Linked DNA regions of Oryctolagus cuniculus. The protein of the gene in region 2 interacts with the protein of the main gene of each other region in a pairwise test. Links are inferred from orthologs where the notes say so. Each region holds a gene or a part of one and is shown on either strand. Other genes may lie near its edges.

Region 1 (4,565 bases), on a different chromosome or scaffold from region 2:
TCTATATGCCACATTTGTTTCAGTATTAGCCTACAAAGTTTATAGATTTTTACTTAACAATAAATTAGTCTTAATATATATCACTGTACTCTGATTATCAGTATTTTTTCTTCCACTATCGTAAAATCAGCATCATAGAAACAGTAATGCTGGATTTCACCACAGAGGACCATCTCTGCCCCCCAAACGCTCCTACCTCTTCTCACTGATTCCTCAGGTTCCTATATCCATAGCATTGATTCAAACTATTATATTCTTGTGTTTGCCACTACCACACACTGCCTCCTAGGATAGCTTCTCACCTTTCTTAAGGTCTTCAGCATACTGCTTATAGCACTACTTACCTTTGTCTGGTATCCTGACATCATTTGTGCAAAATTTACATTAAAAATTCATGCTAAGTCATCTGGTCCCTTCCTATTACTACATCTTCCAGCTTATTGTCATCTTTATCTCCTTAGTTGTGCTGCTACTTAGGAATAATTCCATGTCAGCTAGTGAAATCTGTATCACAGAAAAGCTTTTATCATCAAAGCAAAAATCACTTGATTCTTCATCCTGTAGCAATAAGGACTGATGAGTTGATATTATTTTTCAGTTGGCTTAGAGTACTATCTCTCTGGACTACTTTCACAAATTATCACTTTAAATTAACTGTTTGAACTACCTGCCAGTAGTAATGCCACTTTAAAGAGTTCTCATACAAGCTGCTGAATTTCAGGCAAGTGTGCAGTGTAAGTCACCCTGTCACCAGTAAGCAGGACAATGCTATAGCGGACGGGCAGCTACATGCTAACCAATTTCCTGATCTCTTATATTAAGATGTTTCTGCTTAGAGTTGGGTCATGGTTTCATCAAGATTTTTAAAACGGGGCCAATATCCAACGTCCCATGTCCCTTCCCCTCAAAGCCAGAAGTAGTGACTGAGACAGCAATACAGCCTTTACATACTTGGGAAAAAGGCCCATTCTCCCAGCAATCACTTACATAATACTGTCTAGTAATCAACTCTTGAAAAGCAGAAGGGCACACCACTAAATAGTCATCTGGTTAATGGGAAAAAAAAAAGCCCCATTCCAAGTAACAGAATACAAATAATGTATCTTACCCTCTCTTAACAGACTCCAAAAACTGAGCATTTGTTGGGTCACTGTAAGGTCTCAATTCTCCATCATCTAAGCTGAAACCATTGCTCCACAGTTTAAGCAAAACCTGAACCTGTGAGATAAGGAGTAGGGGAGAAACCATTTCCATCAAACAAGGCTAAGTTTTCCAATGTGGTATCTCACAGAACATTACACTGCTACTTAGATTTAAAATAGGAATTTATCCCTATTGTGCTTTATTCAGTTTGCTTAGCAGACTAGCATTCAGTTTAACAAATGATAATGGCTGAAAATACCAAAGGTTCCACAGCTTGACCCTGACCTCGAAGCACAACTACCAGTAAAAGAAAACAGAAGACGGCACCCAGCTATGATCCCACTACTCCCACCCTTCCTCTTCTCTGCTACAGAGCTTAAATACTCATGATAAAGGGCAAGAGAAGTCCCAATGTGCTTCTACGAAAATTATAAATGCTGAAAATGAAACTATAATTCCAACATTTTAAAAGGCAACAGAAACAAAGAATGACTTTAGTGTCTATGTTTACAACCCAGCTCATTATACCAACTATAATCATTATCACAATATATGACACTTTTAAAAACAATTTTCTTTGAAAAACAGAGAGATTGGGACATACAGGGAGGGAGACTGAGTGAGCTACTATCTGGTGGCTCACTCCCAAATGCCCACAATGGCTGGGGAGACCAAAGTCAGGAGCTGAGAACCCAATCCACATCTCCTCCATGGGTTGCAGGAAGTCAACTATTTTAAACATCACCCTTGACTGCCAGGGTCTGCACTGGCAGGAAACTGGAATCAGAAGCCAGAGCCTGGTATGTAACCCAGGCACTCAAATGTGAGAAACAGGTATCCTAACCAGGGGCTTAGCCAGTAGGCCAGATACTTGGCCTGTAAGCCCATTTTGACAGTCACCTACACATTCTTTCAACAATCAGTTATGTACCTCTAAGTATAAGGCATGAATGAGATACATGATACAAAAATTTACACTGAGACCTTACACATTGATCCTTTGAATAAAGCTTCAAAAGTTAACAAAGAAATTTATATTCTTGGTTTTAAATTTCAAAATTAAAAGTAGTAACCAAAGGAAAATATCTATCAATTTTCATTTTGAGTACTATACCTACATCTTGCAGCTGATTTTCTCCATAGATGTATTCAGACCGCTTACAAAAGGAATTTCCCAACCTGTATCCTCCACCTGTAAAAGACTACAATAAAAGTAAGATAAAAATTGAGTTAAAGGTTTATTAAGTAAAGTGTAATTACAAATTGTGATGTACTATAAACTAGATAATCAAATTAAGATGAGCATTTATGCACTGGAATGGGTATTTTCAAGTGTAGCTAAGGTATTTTTAAGCTACCATTACAATGTTATGACAAGTCTTAGAGTAAAGGAAGAATTTTATCAATGAGTCTAAATGACCCTGAAGAAAAGCTATAAGCTTATTTTATAAGCTATTTGGATTCAACTGTAACAAGTCAGCTCTGATTAGACTTTTTATTTTGCTATACTAATCACAAGTTCTTCCATTCATCAGGTAGGGCGGATTCTAAGTAAAAATACTGTTCTTTCTAATCACTCCTAATATCCTCAATGATCTAATTGTCACATTTTTTTTTTTTGTCCATACAGACTAAATCATCAATTCTACATTTTTTTAAAATGGAAGCAGAGAGCTTGCAAGAACCAAAGTGACTTTAAGACTTGACTGAGGGGTTGGTGTTGTGGCATAGCGGGTTAAGCCACTGCCTGTAGTACCAGCACCCCATATGGGTGCTAGTTCGATTCCTGGCTGCTCTACTTCTGATCCAGCTCCCTGCTAATGCACCTGGGAAAGCAAGAGAAGATGGCCCAAGTGCCTGGTCCCCTGCCACCCATGTGCGAGATACAGATGAAGCTCTTGCTTCCTGGCATTGGTCTAGCCTAGCCCCTACAATTTGGGGAGTGAACCAGCAGATGGAAGATCTGTCTGTTTCTCCCTCTTTCTCTCTAACTTTGCCTTTCAAATAAATAAATAAATCTTAAAAAAAAAAAAAAAAGACTTGACTGAGAAAGCATTTCAAGCTGTTGACAGATAATAAAAACTAAAATTTGTTTCATCAGAATAGTTCTCCATATTGATATCAAAATCAATATGGAGAAGACATGCTTTTTCAGCAGACACTCATCTAGGAACACCTCCAACCTTCTAAGCCATCGTATGCGAGTTCATGTGGGAGTTTAGAAGACCTCACCGAGTGACTGTGATTGGAGAATTCCAGGCTGAGAATGCTGATTATGGGAATAAATAACAATTAGACATAAAGACACTTGAAGTCTTCAATACTCCAATACTGAGATGGCTGATAAAAAAGCTATATTAATGCTCAACAGAAATCTAATAAGGTACAAAAGCACTTTCACAAAGAATGGTGAACCTTTTCAACAAATACATTGGGGCAACTGGCTATCTATAAGCAAAAAAGGAAACAATATAAATCTCACATTTTACATAAAACTAACTCAAAATGAATCATGGGCTTAAGTGTAAAATGCAGACTATGTAACTTTTTTGGATAACATGGGCAAGAATGAGTGGTTCTAAGGTTTGGTGAAAGTTCTTAGACAATAACAGAAGCATGATCCACAAAAGAAAATAAAAACCTGAAAAACTGGACTGCATTAAAGTTTAAAACTTTTGCTCTGCAAAATTCCAATTAAGAGGATGAAAATATAAATTATAGTCTGAGAGTATCTGTAAACCATATCATTCGACAAAGGACCCATACTTATTAAAATATTTTAAAAACTCTCAAAACTCAATAATAACCAATGGGCAAAAGTCATAAAGAGATATTTCACTGAAAAGAGTAAAAAATATGGCAAACAAGCACATGAAATGATGTTCAACACCACTAACAATTAAGAAAATGCAAATTAACATTATCACTCATTGGGGAAATGCAAATTCAAACTACAGTATGTTATCACTATACAACTATCAACATGGCTAAATCAAAAATAGTGACAATGTCAAATGCTTATAGGATAAAGAGAAATAGTCTCTCATACACTGAGAATATAGAATGGTATTACCATTCTGGAACACAGTTTGGCAGGTTCTTTAAACTCAACACGGACTTACCATATGACTCAGTAACTGCACACCTGAGCATTTATGCTATAAAAACTAGAATTCATCTGTAGACAAACCTATGTATGATTGCTCACAGCAGTTTTATTTGTGATAATCAGCATCTAGAAACAGCTAGAATGGCCCTGAATAAATGAATGGTCAAACCTGTGGTACATCCATACCATAAATGCAACTTAGAGAAAGAACAGTCTTGATACATGGGATAACTTTGAAGTACCTTGAGGGCACTATGCCAGCTGAAAAAACTACTCCCAAAAGATTTACCTATTGCGTGATATCATTTTTATA
Region 2 (4,565 bases):
ACAAAGAAAGAAAACTGCAGACAAATATCACTGATGAATGTAGATGCAAAGATCCTCAACAAAATACTAGCTGATAGAATTCAACACATCAGAAAGATCATTCACCTGGACTAAGTGATATTTATTCCTGGTATGCAGGGATGATAATCATCAACATACATGAATCAATAAAGATGATACATCACATTAACAAACTGAAGGATAAAACCATATGATTATCTCAATAGATACAGAGAAAGCATTTGATAAAATACAACACTTTATGATGAACACCTTAAGCAAATTGGGTACAGAAGGAACATTCCTTAAACAGTCAGGGCGATATACGACAAATCCACAGCTAGCATCACGTTGAATGTGGAAAAGCTAGAAGCATTTCCACTAAGATCTGTAACAAGACAAGGAAGCCCACTTTCACCACTGCCATCAATAATAGTTTTAGAAGCTTTAGCCAGAGCCATTAAGCAAGAAAAAGAAATCAAAGGTATACAAATTGGAAAGGAGAAAGTCAAATTACCTAAATTTTCTGGATGGGATCTCAGAAGAGTTTATGCTGGAAGAAAGAACAAATTCACGACAGACTGAAACCTTACCTTGAACCTCAACTACTAATTGGACTAAGGTGGTCTGCCTTATGTTAACTGCCTGTCAAAAGGAAAACTAGTTTTGTTTTAAGATTTTATTTATTTGAGAGGTAGAGTTACAGTGAGAGGAAGAGACAGAGAGAGAGAGGTCTTCCATCTGCTGGTTCACTCCCCAGATGGCCACAATGGCCAGGAGCCAGAAGCCTCTTCCGGGTCTCCCACGCAGGTGCAGGGGCCCAAGGACTTGGGCCATCCTCCACTGCCTTCCCAGGCCACAGCTGAGAGTGGGATCAGAAGAGGAGCAGCCGGGACTAGAACCGGTGCCCATATGGGATGCCGGCACCACAGGCAGAGGACCAATCCACTGCACCATGGCACTGGCCCTGGAAAACTAGTTTTTAATTATGAAAAAAGTCTACATGGATAGTAAAATTTTCCATCTTGGACATCTAGTTCCTCTTCTCAGAAGTCACCCTTGTTAATAAATTCCTGTATCTTGATACAGAAATTTCCATACATGGACAGGTGTATGTGCATACATATGTACATATATATTAAAGACTTTAATAAACAACATTTTTATGTTGAGTAACATTATATTCAAATTTTGTTTCACTGAAATTTGAGAAGAGTTTTGACAATTTAATCTAGAAATCCATAATATTTAAAAAGAATCCTCAAAATTTTCAATAAACAAAAAAGAACACTTAACATCTTAATATATTCTCACTTATAAATAATGCTACAATTAAGTCTGTCAATGGGATGAAAACTATATATTCTTAATTACTTAAGAAATGTCAAATGTCCTAGCACAAATGACAACTATCCATCATATACCTGCTTATTAAGGCCATTGATAGTTTCTCGAAGTAAGTCTTCTTTAATCTTATTTCTTCTGGAGATTACCTCTGCATGTTTACAAGAATATCGCCAAGTGACATCGACTACCTGAAACAAATTACATATACAAATATTTAATAAGATTATAGGCATCAATCATTATTTGTTAAATAGCAGGAATGTATATAATTTTAAACACAACTTAAAAAATGCTGTTTTGCTTAAAATTTTAAAACTTGTGAAAGAGAATATGATATTTATTCATTTATTTATTAATCCATTTGAGAGGCAGAAAGGCAAATAGAGAGTGGATGAGTGTGAGCTCCAATCCACTGATTCATTTCCCAAATGCCTGAGACGGCCTGGGACCAGGAGCTAAAGCAGGGAGCTAGGAACTCAATCCACATCTCCTGCGGGGGTGGTAGAGAACAAGTTCTGTGAGCCGCCCAGAGTTCACATTACCAGGAAGATGGAGTCAGAAGTTAGAGATGGCTATTGAACTCACACGATCCACTATGGGATGCCAGCATCTTAACTGTTAGGTCAAGTGCCTGCCACCGAGAATACACTTTATATTCATTTTCCAACAGGTGCCCTTTCGAGAAACAATATGTTTTAAAACAAGAAATTTTCAAAATACTAGGTTAACTTATATACAAAACTTATTCCAGATAAAATTCAACAGACAAAAACTTCACCTGCTTTTTATTGTATTAAATTTGAATTACAGGGCTGTCACTATGGTGTAGATGCTGGTGTCCCACATGGGTGCCAGTTCATGTCTCAGCTGCTCCTCTTCCAATTCAGCTCTCTGCTATGGCCTGGGAAAGCAGTGGAAGTGCACCCGCATGGGAGACCCAGAAGAAGCACCTGGATTTTGGCTTCAGATTGGTCCAGCTCCAGCTACTGCGGCTCTTTGGGGAGTGAACCAGTGGATGGAAAACCTTCCTTTCTCCCTTTCTCTCTCTCTCTCTCTCTCCCTCTCTCTGTCTATAAGTCTGCCTCTCAAATAAATAAGTGAAATCTTAAAAACAAAAACAAAAACTAAGTTTTGACCAAGGTACAAAGATAATTCAAGGAATAAAGGATCTTTTCAACAAATGCTGTTATAATAATTCATTACTCATATGTCGAAAATTATCTTCAATCCATACCTTGTACCATATAAAAAATGAACTCAAAATGGAACACAGACCTAAATAGATAAAAGTTCTAAAAGAAAACTTAGGACAAAATCAGTGTTGCCATGGGCTAGGCAAATCTCCATACAACATCAAAAAGTATAATCTATAAAAGAACAGACTGACGAATTGAATTCATTGGTATTTTCTTCAAAAGTCATTCATAAAGTACATGAAAAGATAAACAATAGAGGGAGAAAAATTTTCGCAAAGCACAATTTTGATAAAGGACTGAACAAATTTTGGGGGGGGGGCAAGAATTTAGTGTAATGGAAAATCACTGCTTGGGCTGCCTGAATTCCACACTGGAGCACCTGCATTTGGGTACTGGCTCCACTCATGATCCCAGGAATGCACCCTGGGATGAAGCAGGTAACACTTCAGGCATGTGGAGTTTTTGCAGCCCACTTTGGATTCCTGAGTTGAGCTCCTGGCTCTTGGCTTCAGCCTGGCTGCTGTGGCATTTGGAAAGTGAACCAAAGGATGACAGCTGGCTGTCTCTCAAATAATAAAGAAATTAACGAAAAAGCAGTTTAAGAAGCTTCTTAAAAAGTTATACAGGGGTTGATAGTGTGGTGCAGTGTGTGAAGTCACTGCTTGCATCCCATGTTGCAGCATAGATTTTAGTCCCAGCTGTTTCTCTTTCAATGCAGCTAAAGCACATGGGGAAGTAGCAGAAGATGGCCCAAGTATTTGGGACCTTGCCACCCATGTCAGGGACAGGTTGGAGTTCCAGGTTCCTGGCTCCAGCCTGGCTGTTGTGGTCATCTGGGGGATGAACAAAAAATGTTAAGAAAGATTTATTTAATTGAAAGGCAGAGTGACAGAGAGGGAGAAACAGAGAGATCTTACATCGCTGGTTCACTCTCCAGATGGTTGCAATAGCTGGGCCTGGACCAGACAGAAGACAGGAGCCAGGAACTTCTTCCAGGTCTCCCACGTGAGTGTTAGGGGCCTAAGGACTTGAGCCATCCTCTGCTGCTTTCCCCAGACCATTAGCAGGGAGCCAGATTGGAAGTGGAGCAGCCTGGACTCAAACTGGTGCCCACATGGGATGCTGGCACTGCAGGTGGCAGCTTTATTTGCTTTGCCACAATGCTGGCCTCAAATAAATACATCTTAAAAAAAAGTTATACACTTCAGGATGATACAGTCATTCTACTCCTAAGCATGATACAGACAGAGAAAAGTGTATGCCCATATGATTTGTGTGCCTGAATGTTCATAACACTCAGCACAGAACCAGAAACTAACTATAGTACATCCATACAACACAATACTGACTGCAGTGACAATTTCACAGGTGCACACAAATGACAAGACTTAAATTATACACTTTAAATTTATACAGCATATTATAGGTAAATACAATAAAACTGTCAACATTATATTTATTCTTAGAAGAAAATTTTCTTTTGCCCTACCTCGTCTTTAGAAAATGCTAGTACATAGGACAGCTTCTTGCCCCAGCCTACTTCATACAGGAGTGGCTTGTCACAGACATCTTCACATGCGTCACAGTGCAGCCACCGCTGCTGCGAGCCGGAATAGACTTCAGTCCAGACATGGTCTACTCCAGCCAGGGAGAAGAGAACAATGGAAAAAGGAGGTAAAAGTGAAGTTTACAGAACCAGAATGCTCTTCACTAACTACAATAATCCCTAATATCAGAATCACACAATAAGGTAATGTGTAGCACTCTAAATTTTAGTTAATATGAGCATTTTTTGGCATATAGATTAGAATACTTGTATTAACTTCTCTATCTCTTCAAAATGTCCCAAAACACTTTTGGAATAATCTTTAATGCAAGTTGGTTTTAGCCTTAATTAACTCCAAAGGAGAACCTATTTATTAACACTGCCAAAATCATCAGGCTCAGCCTAGCAACACTGGGACATCCACACCACTTCTGAAACATCAGTCTCTCTCTCTTCAGACTTTTAGATCTAGACCC

What was found. The genes of interacting proteins can lie anywhere in the genome.
Region 1: the proteins of NGLY1 (region 2) and UBXN2B interact in binary tests that used the Homo sapiens proteins (3 or more experiments, as listed by UniProt). The two-hybrid records come from large-scale screens. The link is inferred for Oryctolagus cuniculus from reciprocal best matches to the Homo sapiens genes NGLY1 and UBXN2B.

Annotation. Positions count from the first base shown.
Region 1 is NC_091437.1:83,595,756-83,600,320, reverse strand, and holds part of UBXN2B (UBX domain-containing protein 2B), read right to left. Parts: intron 2,346-4,565; coding exon 2,262-2,345; intron 1,219-2,261; coding exon 1,109-1,218; intron 1-1,108. UniProt on the Homo sapiens protein: Adapter protein required for Golgi and endoplasmic reticulum biogenesis. Involved in Golgi and endoplasmic reticulum maintenance during interphase and in their reassembly at the end of mitosis.
Region 2 is NC_091435.1:161,843,311-161,847,875, forward strand, and holds part of NGLY1 (peptide-N(4)-(N-acetyl-beta-glucosaminyl)asparagine amidase), read right to left. Parts: intron 4,179-4,565; coding exon 4,033-4,178; intron 1,536-4,032; coding exon 1,425-1,535; intron 1-1,424. UniProt on the Homo sapiens protein: Specifically deglycosylates the denatured form of N-linked glycoproteins in the cytoplasm and assists their proteasome-mediated degradation. Cleaves the beta-aspartyl-glucosamine (GlcNAc) of the glycan and the amide side chain of Asn, converting Asn to Asp.